2 linked regions of the Lonchura striata genome follow. The protein of the gene in region 2 purifies or fractionates together with the protein of the main gene of each other region. This does not show direct contact. Links are inferred from orthologs where the notes say so. Each region holds a gene or a part of one and is shown on either strand. Other genes may lie near its edges.

Region 1 (7,670 bases), on a different chromosome or scaffold from region 2:
TTGGCCAAACTGGCCACTGAAAGCCAAACTAATACCAGAAATATTTACCACAAACAACACCATCTTTCCCTGAACCTCACTACACTTTCCCTTTGGTTTCAAGGGCTTGTCCCAGAGAACTCCAGGATATTAACGTGTCCATGTTAAAGGGATACTACAAAGAGAAAAGCCTGGCTGGACACATTAGAACTGAAATCTGAGTCAGACCAGGAGATGCTCTACTAAAGATGCAGAAAGAGCACCAAATTAAGCTCTCAAGACAACTACTAACTCCTGCAGTCTCAGCCTCTCGAAGATGCCTGCAGCAGGGTAGTAGAAGGCAACAATTAAGCACATACCAACTCTACCTGAGGGCTTCTGGCTTTCCCTCTCAAGAAATTTAATGCTGATTAAAAATCAAGTGGCCATTGGCCTGTCTCACACCCTGAGCGAGCCCACTACTAGCTAAAATTAGCTCATAGCAGTAGCTCAGTGCTAGGAAAAGAAAAGCCTCACTTGTCCAGAAAGTGCCCCTTAAAGAGCATAGATAAGAGAACAAAAGCTGCTCCACATTACAGACATACAGGAACAAAAACCTCGCCAACATTCCCTTCGCAGTTAGAGTAGCCTGTAACAGATGGGGCAGCAACAGAGGAGTCAGAGCAAAATTTAACAGCATCCTTTGCTCAAAATCTCTGCTCTTTTGGGATATTTCCTCTTAATGGGGTACCAGAATAGCTCACTGCTTCACACTTGACAAAAATCCAAGTGCTGCACCTCTCCCATTTTGTTTAGGAAATAGTACTCAGGTGTCTGTCCTCTCTTGCCCCTGTGCATATTCAGAGTCACTTCTCAGTCACATGTGAGGTTGTTCTCTTCAGCACAACCACCTCCTCTACAGAGAATTCTGAACCTCCTGAGAAAGGGAAACCTGTTCATGGCGAGTCCAAGGAGCTCTGGACACTTTATCCACACACTCTGCCTGAGCTTCAGCAAACTTCCCGAGTTCCCCTCAGCTGCTCAGAGAGGGGATTCACCTTGAACTTTGCCATTATAAAAGCACCAGATTGTGGCATAACTCCTTTATCCCAAAAGTGACTGCTTTTCAAATTAAACCCCCTCTCAACTTCACTTTCGACATGACTTGCAAGCACAGCCAAGAGAATAAACGTGCCCAACCACCAACCACTGCCCCTGTCTGACACACTTTTGAGCACAAGAGAAATAAACTTTTCCACTGTGAATCCAGGCTTAGTGACAGCAGACTTATTTTAGTTACTTATTTTTAAACCTTTTGGAAGTAATCCACAGAGTTGGTGAGCAAAAAGTCACTTCAGGGAGTAAATGGAAATTTTATTAGAACTGGTTATGAATAAAATAAAATTATATATATATATATATATATATATATATATATATATATATATATATGGCACAAATTCAGGGCTATGGTTTTTACTGTTCACGGACATTATAGTATTAAGGAGAGATAAATGCATTCAAAAGCAGTAACTGCTTTATCTGACAGTCCCCCATAGCCTTCTACTTCATCTCCCCACACAAATTCCATCGCTGGAGGATGGAAACAGCTGGATGAGTGTTAGAAGCCACCACGAACATGGGGGGATAGAGTAAAGGAAGCAATACAGCTCTCTTCCTTTTCCAGGGATTCCTCATGGCCCGGAAACTTTAACTTTTCAAAAGTCATATACAAACAAGCCCGAAAACTTTTAACTTTTTAAAAGTTATATACAAACAAAGCAGTACTGAATATTACTGTAGATTAAAGTGGTTTTCTCCTGTTAAGGGCTTGGCGAGCAGAGCCAGGAGGCTACAAAACGCAGCACAAGTACTGCAGCAGCCTCCCCAGAGCTCCCACGCTGCCTAAAACCCACGAGCACTAAGACAGACGGGGCTGGGGCCGGGCCGGGGCTCGCACGGAGCGGGCTCCCCGGGCTTGGGCTCGCACGGAGCGGGCCCCCCGGGCCGGGGCTCACACGGAGCGGGCTCCCCGGGCTTGGGCTCACACGGAGCGGGCCCCCCGGGCTTGGGCTCACACGGAGCGGGCTCCCCGGGCCGGGGCTCGCACGGAGCGGGCCCCCCGGGCCGGGGCTCGCACGGAGCGGGCCCCCCGGGCCGGGGCTCGCACGGAGCGGGCTCCCCGGGCCGGGGCTCGCACGGAGCGGGCCCCCCGGGCCGGGGCTCACACGGAGCGGGCCCCCCGGGCTTGGGCTCGCACGGAGCGGGCCCCCCGGGCTTGGGCTCACACGGAGCGGGCCCCCCGGGCCGGGGCTCGCACGGAGCGGGCCCCCCGGGCCGGGGCTCGCACGGAGCGGGCTCCCCGGGCCGGGGCTCGCACGGAGCGGGCCCCCCGGGCCGGGGCTCGCACGGAGCGAGCCCCCCGGGCTTGGGCTCGCACGGAGCGAGCCCCCCGGGCTTGGGCTCACACGGAGCGGGCCCCCCGGGCCGGGGCGCCGCCGGGGCCGGGCCGGGCGGCCCGCGGGCCCCTTCCCGCGGCGGCCCGGGCGCGGGACAGCGGCGGGCGCGCCCCGGGCCGCGGCGGGCGCAGCGCGGGGCCGGCGGCCGGCGGGCTCCGGCCGCGCTCGGGGCGGGCCCGCCCCGGGGAAGGGCCCCGCCCGCCCCGCCCCGTACCTCGGCTGTCGGCGGGCATCGGCGCGGCGGGGCCGCTCTCGGCGGCGGGCGGGAGCCGCTGCCCGGCACACATCGACTTCAGCACCTGGAACACGGCGAGCGGCGCCACGTTCATGCGGAGCAGGTCCAGCAACACCCTGCGAGGGGAACACCGGCAGCGGGAGCGCCTGTCAGACGGGGATCCGGCGTCACCGCCGGCTCCCGCGGCGGCGCCCCCACCGCTCACCGGAACACCTCCGGGTCCAGCCCGCTGCCCGCCGCCTGCGCCAGTTCGAACAGCTCCGCCTCCTCCGCGCTCAGCAGCTGCTTCCGCCGCAGCCGCGTCTCCGCCATCGGCGCCGGGGCCGCCATTGTCGCCGGTCCCTCCGACATGGCTGCGCGGTCCCGCCCCTGGCGGCCCCGCCCGTCACACCGGGCCGCGCCCCCTCGCAACGGGCCACGCCCCTCACACCGGGACACGCCCCCTCACACCGGGACACGCCCCCTCACACCGGGACACGCCCCCTCACACCGGGCCACGCCCCCTCACACCGGGCCACGCCCCTCACACCGGGCCGCGCCCCCTCACACCGGGACACGCCCCCTCACACCGGGACACGCCCCTCACACCGGGCCGCGCCCCCTCACACCGGGACACGCCCCCTCACACCGGGACACGCCCCTCACACCGGGCCGCGCCCCCTCAGTGTTCGGCAGTGGCTCAGTCCCCGCCGCTCCGGGCCTGTTGCTCCTGGCGCGGCCGGCAGGTGGCAGCAGCGCTCCAGCCGCGCCCCCGGCCGCGGGCCCCTGCCTGGAGCGGCCGCAGCGCCCGCGGGGTGACGGCGTGAGGTGAGAGGGGTGCGGTGTGTGAGGAGAGACGTGCGGTGTGCGGCGTGAGTTGTGAGGTGAGAGGGGTGAGGTGTGCACCGTGCGGTGTGAGGTGTACGGTGTGCAGTGCCCGGTGCCCGCTGTGCAGTGCCCCGTATCCGCCCCGCTGCCCCCCACGCGGTCTCCCCGCAGGCGCCTCCGCTCCAGGGCAGGGCAGAACCCAGCGGGATCCGCTGAGCACGAAGGGCAGTGCAGCAGTTTGGGGTGCGGAGGTGCCATGGGGACCCGCGGAGCTACAGAGCCCACGTCCTCACCCCAGCTGTCCCCTGGGCCGGGCGCCAGCTCCCTTGAACACGCTGCAGGCCCTGAGCCCAGAGAGCATCTGGGCATCATGCGGGAAAAAGCAGGAAATTTGGGTCTTGAGTCGCACCGTGGCGAAGAGCTGGCAAACTGAGATTGAAATCCCTCCTATCTAAATGGAAATGATCTGTTGCCATCAGGGAAGGATGGTCCAGCCCAGCACACACAGGCCCTGCAGCTGCGCTGTTAATGGGGAACAGAGCAGAGGGGTCACTGTGTCCCCCCAGCATTGCCATGACAGACCCCATCCCATCCCTACACCAAGCCACAGCAGACAGATGCTCCCACTCCACATCCCAAGCAACCTGTGAGTCTGTCAGGGTGCCCCAACCTTGTGACTTGATGGCCAGGCTGACAAACAGACATTTATGGCAGAAGCCAAGACAGGAATGACATGGATAATGATAGAAGGATCTTGCTCTTTATGGCCCAAAGCAGGACCAGCCCAGCAAGAACAATTATTGCTGTGTTTTGAGTGGGAGCAGCTGCTCCAGCATGAGTGACTGCACTGTCTGTGGGGTTGCCAATGCTGAAGCCACAGAGCCTAAGGTTGTCCCAACAGCTGGACTTTCAGAGGGACCCTCAGCTGAGCAGGGAGTGTAGAGTCTGTGATACAGGGGGACTGAAAAACACCCCTGTGCTTGATCTCTTGCCTGTTCTGGTATATGATGTGCCACTTCCTTTGGGACAGGCTGGTAGTCGAGTGCAAATGCCAAGCGCCCTCATTGTGTGGGTGATGCAGTCTCCAGACTTGGTCCCACATGGACAACCTCCCTCAGCCTGTGGCATGTGAGAGCTCAGCTACACCTCACAGCAGAAGAAAGTGAGATGCTTTTCAGCTCAGCCCTTCTCTTGGAACAAAACAAAACAAAACAAAAACAAACAAACAAAAAACAAAAAAAAACCCCCAACAAAACCAAAACCAAAAAAAAAAAAAAAAAGAGAGAGAGAAAACCAGGAACTGCCTTCTGTACAACAAACTGGAGAAGTTTCAGCATGTACCTCCCTCCTTCCCTGTCCATCTGTTCCAGCTGGCAGCTCTCCCTGTGTGCTGTGGTCACCAGCACAGGGCTGGAGACCTTCCCAGGGCAAAGGACAGGAGACTCTGTCCCTCACATGCTTCCTTCATAGGTCACAGCTGTGTCACACCTTCCCCGCATCTCGGTGTAAGCCTGGATGGGCCTAGTCTGCAACGTGGAGTGACAACCTTCTCCTCTGGACTTCAAGGTTTTCTCTGAAGCATTCCTGGGGGCTCCGTTATCTCAGTTTCTCCCTTTTGCTCTCCCAGTCCAACAGGTCAGTAGAGGAAGTCCTTGGGAAACTCCCCTGAGGAGGCCTCAGTTACTGGAGCTGCACTCTGGGTGGCACAGGGGACTCTGGCTTAAATGACACTGAGGAGGACCCTGGGTCTTGCAGCCCACCAGACACTCTCCATTGCCTCTGGCAGGACTTTAAAGCCCAACCACCACTCAGTCCATGGTTTCCAGAGCAGGATGAGCCAGGACAGCCCGGGATGCTGATGCCAGGCTGCATCTCAGCCCTTGCAGAACATGTTTAAGAGAGGGGCTGAGCAGATGGGGGCAAAGGAGGCTCCAACAGCCTGCATGAGCAGAAGGAAAAGAGAGCTAGGAGCAGCAGAGAGCCTGCAATCCTTGGAGTGAGTTACCAGAAAGAACTGCGGGTTGCTCAGACATGGCCCTAAATGGAGGCAAAGCGATGCTGAGCCTTCCCTGGGCACCAGGACACGCTGTGCACGGCCAGGGGAGCACACCAGGGCCAGGCTGTGCCTTGCAGAGGTAACTGCAGCGGGAGAAAGACTGGTGGTTGTGCAGGTCATCAAGCTGAGTGGGACAGGAAGGACAGAATGACTGAGGTACAATCACTGGCTGAGGACACACTGTCAGTGCATGAGATGAGGGTCAGCATGACACCAGGGAGGGAAGGAGCAAGGTCACCTCCCTATGAAAGAAGGGCCAGGCTTAAGAAAACCTGGATATGGTTCAAATCTCAAACAAATGCAGCAAATGTGCCTACCACATCCAGAAAATGGAAAAGAGGGATTCAAATGTATCTGGACTTTTCTATCTTTCTGAGGTTTTTTTGAAGGAAACCAGCTCCCAGATAGAAAAGCAAATGCAAACAGAATTTATCACAGATACATTGTTTCAGGATAAGGTAATGATTTATCTTTGATAATTAACTTTGACAAGGTGATGCAGAGCATTGTAGTAGAATGTGTCCCTGCCCATGAGAGAGGGCTGGAACAAGATGAGCTTTAAGGTGTCCTCCAACCCAAACCATTTTATGATTCTACGCTTTTATGATAATTTAGCCTGGTTACATTTAAGGAAGAAGTTTGATTTGCACCCAGTATGATGCAGTTTCCAATGCTGAAGTCATGGGTATGGATTTAACACGAGGAACCAGATAACCAAGTAAAACGCTGGGCTATGTTAAAGGGATGTCTCTGAGCAGCTTCCAGCACTGCTCCCCACCTCAGTTTTGGGATGCCCCCACTGATGTTAACAGCAAGAAGTGTAGGGCTGGTAGTGTAGAATCATCATGCCTGGGATGTTTTGGGGAGGGACACAGCCACACCACTAGCAAGGCACTAGGATGGTCTCACCTGGAAGATCATGGAATCCTAGGTTTGGGTCAGAAGGTCACCTAGTCCAACGTCCTATTGTGAGCAGGGACATCTTTACTTCGATCAGGTTGCTCCAAGCCCTGTCCAACCTGGCCTTGAACGTTTCCACACATAGGACTTCCACCACCTCTCTGAGCAACCTGCCTCAGGGTTTTACCACCCACACTGTAAAATACTTCTTGTATCTAATCTAAATCAGTGTTCCTTTTAGCTTAAACAATTTCCCCTTCTATGAGCCTGAGCATGGTGGTTTGAAGACAGGCCTGCAAAACTGTGCATGAAAAATGACAGAACTACTCAGAGGTGTAGACTCAAAATTAGGTGGAGGCATCCAAGCAGAGACATCTTAGGACAATTTCCAAACATGACACCAGGAGCAAGTAAGTGGTTTGGAAGGATGTTGGGAACCATTCTGAAGGGACTGAGTGACAGAATTCTCCAAGTCAGAAGTTGAAACTTGTCCTTTTGGGTCAAATATTTGGTCTTTAGGTAAAGATTAGAGTAGGCATTCAGCTGGGACATGTCTGTGCCACTGCACATGTGTGCTATGTATGTGCTACCCTGAACATTCCACTAGCAGCCTGAAGGCATCAGGAGCAAATTTCTCTCCTTTGCTCTAAACTTTGGCAGCTGAGCTGTTATCTGATCCTCCTGTAGATTGCTGTGGTTGGAGGCAAAACACAGCACACAGCATTCTCAGGGATACCCAAGTAACTTAAGCATCCCTGCTAGGGCTGGGATTTCAAACTAATCACTAGGCTTGGGCTTCAAGGAACTTCTCCAGGCCAGAGGGGCAGGAAGGGGGCATGGATAACACGGTGAGGGTTTAACTCAGTCCCACAAGGATCAGTTACTGGTTCTCTCCAACCTCTGAAGTACTAAGGAGCCTTGATGACCTGTGCTGGGATGGGTGATGCAAGGCTTGGCACTAGCCAAAGGGTTTAATTAGGGACAGAATTCAGTGAACACCCCACCTCCCCAGGTGGTCAGACTCCAATTCTGCCCTGTATCAGCCTTTTGTCCTTCTTGGTTGCCTCCATCCTGCAAAACTACATGTTTTCATAGAGTCATAGAATGGTGTTGGAAAGGACCTTAAAGCTCATCTTGTTCCAATCCCCTGCCATGGGCAGAGACACTTTCCACTCTCCCAGGCTGCTGCAAGTCCCATCCATCCTGGCCTGGAACACTTCAAAGGATGGGGCAGCCACAGCTTCTCTGGGCAACC
Region 2 (8,010 bases):
AGATTTACCTTGGCTTGTGCTTTTCAGAGAAATATCTGGTTGAGTTTCTTTTTGGGAGGAAGAGGGAGAGAGAGGTAAAATTCTGAATAATGAGTATCCTAAATGTGATCAGTGCAGGAAGAAAGGGAAAAAAAGTTCTCTCCTATTTCTCTTTGGTCCTATAAAAAAAAAAGAAGACTGGATGTATTTGCATTATGTGTAGCTGTTTAAAAGGTGAGCTGTTTTTTATTTTGTGTACACTTTTCTGGAATGCTGTAGGTAGTAGGAAAATTAGAAGGATAATGATACAGTGGTGTAAAGAAAGGGAAAAGTGAGTAATTGATAGGGCAGTTATTTTTGCAAGACAATTTAAAAACTGAGTTAGTATGTTTATTTAACTTGACTGCCTAACAGCCAGTTTGGAGGAGACACTCCTTAGCATTATTCTTTCGTTAAAATAATTTATTATTCTGCAGTTTTTCAAAAAGCAAGAAAGATAAAAATTGACATTACTCATTTTTCTTTTACAAGGAACAAGTAGGAAATTACAGCTTTTACAAAACAAACCAACAAGGTGTTCTGTCTTTTGTTGTGTTTTGAACAAACTAAAAATCTATCTTTTTTTTTTTTTTTTTGGGGGGGGGGTCACCTTGAGGATTATCTTAGGACTTTTATACAGCTTAATTAATATTTGTAAAACATGCTATAGCATCAGGTGAAAATGGAAGAGAAGTTCTATTACAGACAATGTGTTTTTTCAGTGCTGCCTGTTTGGACCTTGTTATATTTCCTATACTTGAAAGAGAAATATTAAATAAAAGCCTTTACCTATTCATTTAAAATACATTACTATACTTACTTTCCTATAATACATATTTTCTGAGATTTTTGTTTTAAAGAAGAATATTATCCTTTAACACACAGCACAGTGAAATAATAACATTAAAATGTTGACCTCACTGTATCCATAGCAGCAGATTTTATTCTTATAAACACAAGATAAAATATTCAATGCAGGTTTTAGAAGAAACATTGGAGAAAACATTTTTCTTTTAGCATATAATTAAACTCTTTAGTTAAAAACTGCTTGTAGGGAGGGAAGCTCATACCTGAATGTCTCCAGTAATCACACAGAAAAAAAAAGTATAAAAGCAATTGCAAAGCAAATTGTTTCTTGGTTATGTATTGCAGTAGTTGGGTGAGGTTTTTGTCCTTAGCAGTAAATGGAGACTAAAGCCTTCAATATGTGAAAGCACAATAGATTTGTGTCAACACCATGCTGAATTAGATTTGTATAGAATCTACTTGTGTCACTGTTTCCAAAATTAAAAAGGAAGAGGAGGAAGGAAGATTTCACTTTGTAAGGGAAGATCTTCCTGCTATGGGAAGTTCCTCTCTATGATCTGCCCCATACAACAATGCCAAAGAGCTACTATTGACAGCTTTGAACCCCTGGCATGTTTACCAATTATTTTCAAATTTTAACTGAAATATTTCTCCATTCTACATCTGTGGAAGGAATGGATAGTGCTTCTCTATCTAATAAATCGAGGGATGGGGCAAGGGAAGAGAGAGAGAAAAAAAAATAGAGAGAAAGCACACTTTGGGGAGAAATTGAAAGATTCTGAAAACAATGACATTTTATCTTCAGTCCATCCCATCAAGTGTGGGACAAGAAAGACCTATAGTAAAAGGAGGTGTTTGGGGTTTTAAAAATATTTCAGTATTTTCTGTTATGTGAACTGAATGAAGCAAAAACACTGAGAAAAAAAACAGCTTCTGGTCCTGTAATTAAAAATTTTATCATCAAGAGCATGCTGGACCTCAAATTGAATTTGAACAGGGAGCTTAACAGTGAAAGGTCTGAATGGATTTTAGAATATTTCAGTTTTCAAATACTCTTTCAATATAGTTTTAAATTATATTGGTGCCTTGAAAGATGTTCTACATTCAAGGCATTCACAGGATTTCTCATGCCTACAAATATACAGTAACTTGAAATTATTTCTGGTTAAATTAATTTTATGATGTGGAAATCAGTAATTTCACACAGATTTATCCAATTGCATGTGACTGGTTTTTAAATTCCACTACAGCTCTGCTACAATTCACAATTTTTTGTTGTCCAAAGTATATATTCATTTTCTGGATGACATCAATCTAACAAAATAATCCTAGTAATTACCCTCACTATGCCTCAGTTTCTTTATCTGAAGATAACAGTAATCCCCTCATCAGTGAGGGATTTTAAGTTTTCTGCAACAACATTTGGAAAATATTTTCAGATCCTTGAATGAAAGAGGAAGGCTATTTATATTATTATTCAGTTGAGACACACTGTAATGGAACAATCATTTGTTTCCAGTCCATTTCAGTGAAATCCGAGAAGGAAGATTCTTTAAAAGAATAATGATGGAGTTAGAATTAATTGTTGGCTAATATGCTGAACTAATTAAACCAGCAGAGAGATGCATTTATGCTTGCCAAAGGTTTTCTTTGAGTTAAAGATACTGAGAACATCATTAAATGAGAAAAGTGAAAATATGAAGCATAGGTTAATCTTTTAAACAGAGTGGGTGAAAGGGTCCAGAGGCAAGTGCTGAAGTCAAATATTTACCACTGCAATTTAATTTTCTACTTTGAAACCCCAGAGCTAATTAGAATTATTCTCATTTATCTACCATCTCAGCATGATTTAGGATTCTACTTAATGTGCAAAGAAAAAAAAGAAAGGCTGTGCTGAAGCAAATGGCACCAAAACTCGGTGTGGAACCAGATGCGCTACCTACAAAATAATCATGAGCTGACTGAGCCAGCCCTATAGTTCTGTGTGGAGGGTGAAAGTCTCTGAAAACACAGAGCACCTACAGGGCTGGTTTAGCTCCTGGCCAGACATTCAGAGTTGAAAAGTACATTTCAGCAACCACCTAAAAATTTCAATGCCCTAGGCAAAGCTCCTTGCTTTTTGGCAGTGATGATTTCTTCATTCCCTGTGAATTCTGGCATCATACAGCTACTATACAGCAGAGCTAGCAGAGAAAGTCAAGATCCTGTCTATCATATGAAATTACTGTATATATTTTATCATCATATAATGTATTAGTTATCTCTATCCCATTATCACATTCCTATGGTTCCACTACCAAATGGGATAATACCAACTTTTAAGTGGTTTCCAAACCACTCTAAAAAATTATTATAACCATAAAGAAATTAATGTCTTTTTTTCCCTAGTGTCCTGACTGCTCTTATTCCCTGGAACTCTGTGGCTTATCCTTCAGAACCTAATGTCACTGCCTCTACAATGAAAAACTTTTTTATGGGCAAAGAGGAAACCTATGTATGTTTAAAGGCAAAATGTATTAGCATAATTGAAATCTTAGCCTAATCCAAGAATTGTTATCCAGGTCTAATTATTACGGGAAAAGAAAGAATATTTCTATGTGGAAAAAGTTGTAATAATAATAGTCGTAATAATACAGTTAAAATATTATATAAACTATTTTTGTCTCTCTTCACCTGTGTATTGCTCACACTCCCACTGCTTTTACAGCCTTGCACAATTGCTGGGAATGCTCTGCCTTGCACCGATGGCCTTTCAGCAATAACACCACTTTGGCTTTAATGGTTGGGCTTAGAGCTGTGATCCTTTCCACAAATGGAATGCACCAACGTGTCCCAGTGGTTCCTTGCAAATACCAAGAACAAGCACAGCACAGGCACTGGCATAAAAAAAATGCCAGCAAAGGTCCTGCCAGCAGGAAAAATTGATTTAACTGAGGGCCTGTTACAGAATGAAGGAAAACATGCTGATCGTGTTTACTTAAAATCCCCCAAATTGTTAATTGTTCAAGGCTTCAGGGCTTGTCAGGCAGGTGCTCTCCTATCTGTCTGTAAAAACAATTATGCTCCACTGTGAGGAGATAAGGAAAAAAAGCCAAAGGATATGGCTGTGGTAAAGAAAAGGCTTTAGATTCTCTCTGTACTGAAGCTAGAATGGAATAACAAGTGCTGGGCTCAGAAGTGAAACATGACAGGTTTAGTAGCAAATTAGGACTCTAAAATGGAGCGAGAGTAGAAAACTTGCAGGAATGCTGTGGATCCCTTAACACTCAGCTGAGAAGGCAGGTGGTTGAAGATATAAATTATAACTAATGATTGGTTAATGAGGATTAATAGATGCAATAAAGACATGATCCTCAATGCTGTAGGGAAATAATGGCATTTTTTGTAACAGTGCCATGATTTATTTTCTCCTGATTCTGAGTGCATTTCCAGAGACTAGATATTAAATGAACTTGGAAAATCAAGACTCCATCAGAAAAGGAAAGTAAATCAGGCATTTCAGCTCGACTGGCTCTGAGGGTACACAGGGTGAAGCCTCGCTCAAAGGCAGATCTCTACAGAAAATTTTGTTAAAGTTCCACGTGGAATATATCTTTGAATTTAGTATATGTTGTTGTGTTTTGGGGTAGAAAGCAGGAGTGCAAACATGTATCACCGCGAAGCACTGCTACCTTTTATTTTACCGGATGAAAATAACAACAAAGTCCCTCCTCCTGTAAATTTCAGCATGACCAGGGTAACAGTTCTATTGCAAGTCAGGACACAGACGCCGCAGTTCTCTATTACTCGCTGTTACAGGAGTGATGCATTAACTGCTATCATTTATTGCGCTCTGTCGCCGTGATGTCCCGGTGTCCCAGATGTGCGGAGACCCCAGATGCAGCCGGACGCCTTTTGCTCAGCGCTGGAATCTCCAAACGCGGCAGAGGCGGCGCCCCTCAGCCCGCTCCGGCGGGTTCTCAGCGCGGCCCGCGCCCCGCCCTTCAGCCGCTGCCGGGCCCCCGCCCTGCCCGCCCCGCCCCGCCCCGCCCGCGCGCGGCCCCTCCGCGCCGCCGTAGCGCGGGCAGCGGCGCGCGGGGGCTGCCGGGACGGGGCGCGTGAACTCGGGCGCGGCGCGGCAAGCCGGGCCCGGCGGGGCGGGCGGAGCCGGAGCCGGGCCGGGCCCGTCCCTCAGGCGGCGCTGGGCCGGGCCTCGGGGCGAGCAGCGCGGGCTCGGCCCGGTGCCCGCCCGGCCAGGTGCGCGGTGCCGCGGGGAGAGCGCGGGAGCGGGCCGGGGCCGGGGCCGGGCGGTGGCGAGGGGCGGGGTGCGCCGGGCGGCTCCTCCCGCGGCCTCCGCGGCGGGAGGCGAGCTCTGTGTGAGGCGGCAGCGCGGCCCCGCGGGCTGCTGCCCACTGAAGGCGTATGTGGACCCTGAACTTCTTGTGCAGTTTTGAGTGTTAACAGTCCCGGCAGTAAGAATGAATGGCCTAAAGCTGTGTGAAGCGTCCCGCAAGCTTTGGCCAAGGGGCGTTTGTGTTCTCAGCTGAAGGGAAAGCTCACGTTTATAGTCCTCGTCTGTTGATAGTTTAAAATTATCAGGAGTAAAAAGCTGAGAGTCAGCGCTTCAAACCAGGCACCGGTTAACCTGGCTTGAAGTCTTAAAAGGTGTCACTCAAAATAAGTAGCAGTACAATGCTCTTGGCCTTTTTGGTTCGTAATGTTTTGTAAGGTGCGATGTAAGGTGACTCGCTGTCGCTTGTATTCTGCTGTCAAAGGTTTAGTTTAAAGGATTCTCGGATGTCTTTGGAGTAGTGAGATGAACGCTGAAGTGAGTCCTTTAGGTCCGCACTGCCCGCCTTGCCCTGCAACAGTTTGATTCTGGTTTGTATATCCCCATCTGCTGGTGGGAAATGGGCCCTTCAGATACTCAGGGCTTCCTGGTAGGCAGCTGTGAGCTGTGGAGATAAAGGCTTCATTTTAGTCTCTTCATGCCGTAGAGGGCCTGGCTTTGTGAGAAAGAAACCACGCGTTTCCTTCCGGAGTTTAAGTAGCAAAAACTTGGAGTGTCTGATGCTTTCGTTTGTGTGTGCAGCTGAACGGTACTAACTGTTTAACTCAAAATAAATGGTGCAGTTATCAAGAAAACTTTAACTGTATCTTTTAAAATTGTAATTTTGAATTGTTAGGTTGCCTGGTTGATTTTTTAGTTTTATGTATTTTCACTTATTAATTTATTTCTGCCAAAACAGGTGCAGCCATGCAAGAAGGCATACGTTTTGCATCATCAGGAGATGATATTAAAATATGGGATTCTTCATCTTTCACTGTGGTGGAACAGTTCAACCCACATACGCCCTCACATCCAGTCAGTTCACTGTGCTGGGCCAGCAATAGTATCCTTTACAGTTTCAGCCATATTTCTGTGGGTGTTCTGCAAAATTCCACTGTTTCTTTTTCTTTCCTTTTTTTACAGAAATGTTTGTAAAACACAGGCCTGATGTATTTTGAAGTCTTGCATAAAAATATTGGTATCTGTTTTGACCAAAGTTTTGTGGTTCCTTGTGCTGAAGAGATTTACAGAATGAGATCATGATGGTAAATAATTCTGAAGAAGTTTCTTAGCTCGGGAACCCACACTTTTTTAATGGCTGTAATGTGCCTGAATTGCCTGCCAACTGTAAACCTTACACATTTGTTTCTTCAGTAGTTGATTATGATGTTTGCTTTCAAGATGGTGCCTAATTAACTGACAAGCTTGAGCAAAGCAACTGCTGGTGTAGTAAAATTCTATACATAGTATAGTGAGGAAAATTATAATTATTTTTTTTTTTTCCATAGGACAGCTTCTCGTTGATTCTGACAATCATTGATAGTGTTCATTTACCTCTAAGCACTGGTTTTCTTTCTATTCTTTGTAAGCATTTTGAGAGGAAACACAAACCTATTGTTGTGTAGGAAAACATTCACTGGGTGGTGGTGGTTTGTCATCAAAATGGATCTGACCCATTTAGGTCTTTCACCTCTGACTTGGAAGCCAAGGAAGTCTTGGATAATGATACGAGGGGCCAAGTGGTAGATGAAGATATGAGAACTTTCAGTGGGCTGTCAGGTAAATGACTTGTGTGGCTGTCACAGGAGAAGGTGGTGGTGTCTCATCTTGACGTAGGAGGCCAGGATGCTGGCACACAGCATACGAGTCCTGCAAGTTCTGAATGTCTGTCCTCAAAGTTAACGTATGAGAATAAAAGGTTACACCAATTGGAACACAAATGAATGTTTTAGCTATGGAGCTTGCAGAGAATTTGAAGCACAGATGTAATGTTTTCATGTGTATGCATACACACTAGTATGTGTTTAGTAAACTTTTATCTACAGTCTGTCTTAACATGCTTTAATCAAGTCTCCTCTTCATCTCCCAACACTGAATATTTGTTAGCTTGTTAAGGATAAAGCATTAGTTCTGGTTACGCATAGTTATGTAAAATTATACAAACGTGCCGTAAAATAGTGACAGCAATAGCAAACACTACTCTGCCTACTGGTTCTGTTGTGTTAAATCCAGCCAATTAACCTGTGTTATTCTTTAATGAGCTAATGCAAAGTCACAATGGGCATTGGCCAGAAGACTGATTACTCAGTTTGTTTGGTGATGGTGGAGATGCAGTTTTCCTGCTCTGTAATTCTATAAATGTTCTTATTACTTTGGAGTACTTGGATTCATAACAGGTTATTTTTGGGATTTTGTTTTTCTTCTCTCAGTACAGAGTCGGGGAAACCGGCAACTGCTCTTTGTACTCTAGAAACTGTGTAGTGAAGTAGTCTGACATTTGTCATGACCAGGACCATTCTTTAAATCCATAGTCTGCTAACAGCCACAGACACTCCTTTGAACTAGTGATAAATGGTGCTCATACTTGGGGGTGTGGGGAAACAGAATTGTAGACTGGATAAGCTGCCTTAGTGGTAAAGAGCTCTTAAATAATACCTGGCAGATTTTTCTCGTCTTTTCTATCAAAGAAATTGCTGTCTGTCTTGTATTGGCAAGTAAGGGCTGTAGTTAATTTAAGAGCTTCTTAATGAAAGCTTGGAAAATGGCCTTATGTTTCTGTTTCTAGGTCCCTCCAAGGTCCAGTGCTTTAGACTGTGTAGCCAATCTGTCTTCTGTTCAATAAGGGAAACTTCCTGTTGCTTGTATTAATCACCAGT

Evidence for each region.
Region 1: the proteins of NEDD1 (region 2) and mitotic-spindle organizing protein 2B purify together in Homo sapiens (affinity purification with mass spectrometry; 3 studies listed by BioGRID and IntAct, with this or other methods). This does not show direct contact. The link is inferred for Lonchura striata from reciprocal best matches to the Homo sapiens genes NEDD1 and MZT2B.

Annotation. Positions count from the first base shown.
Region 1 is NC_134613.1:7,856,352-7,864,021, reverse strand, and holds the start of mitotic-spindle organizing protein 2B, read right to left. Parts: upstream 3,037-7,670; 5' UTR 3,004-3,036; coding exon 2,858-3,003; intron 2,769-2,857; coding exon 2,632-2,768; intron 1-2,631. UniProt on the Homo sapiens protein: Required for the recruitment and the assembly of the gamma-tubulin ring complex (gTuRC) at the centrosome.
Region 2 is NC_134607.1:54,833,374-54,841,383, forward strand, and holds the start of NEDD1 (protein NEDD1), read left to right. Parts: upstream 1-4,967; 5' UTR 4,968-5,061; intron 5,062-5,202; exon of another isoform or gene 5,203-5,224; intron 5,225-6,053; 5' UTR 6,054-6,061; coding exon 6,062-6,197; intron 6,198-8,010. UniProt on the Homo sapiens protein: Required for mitosis progression. Promotes the nucleation of microtubules from the spindle.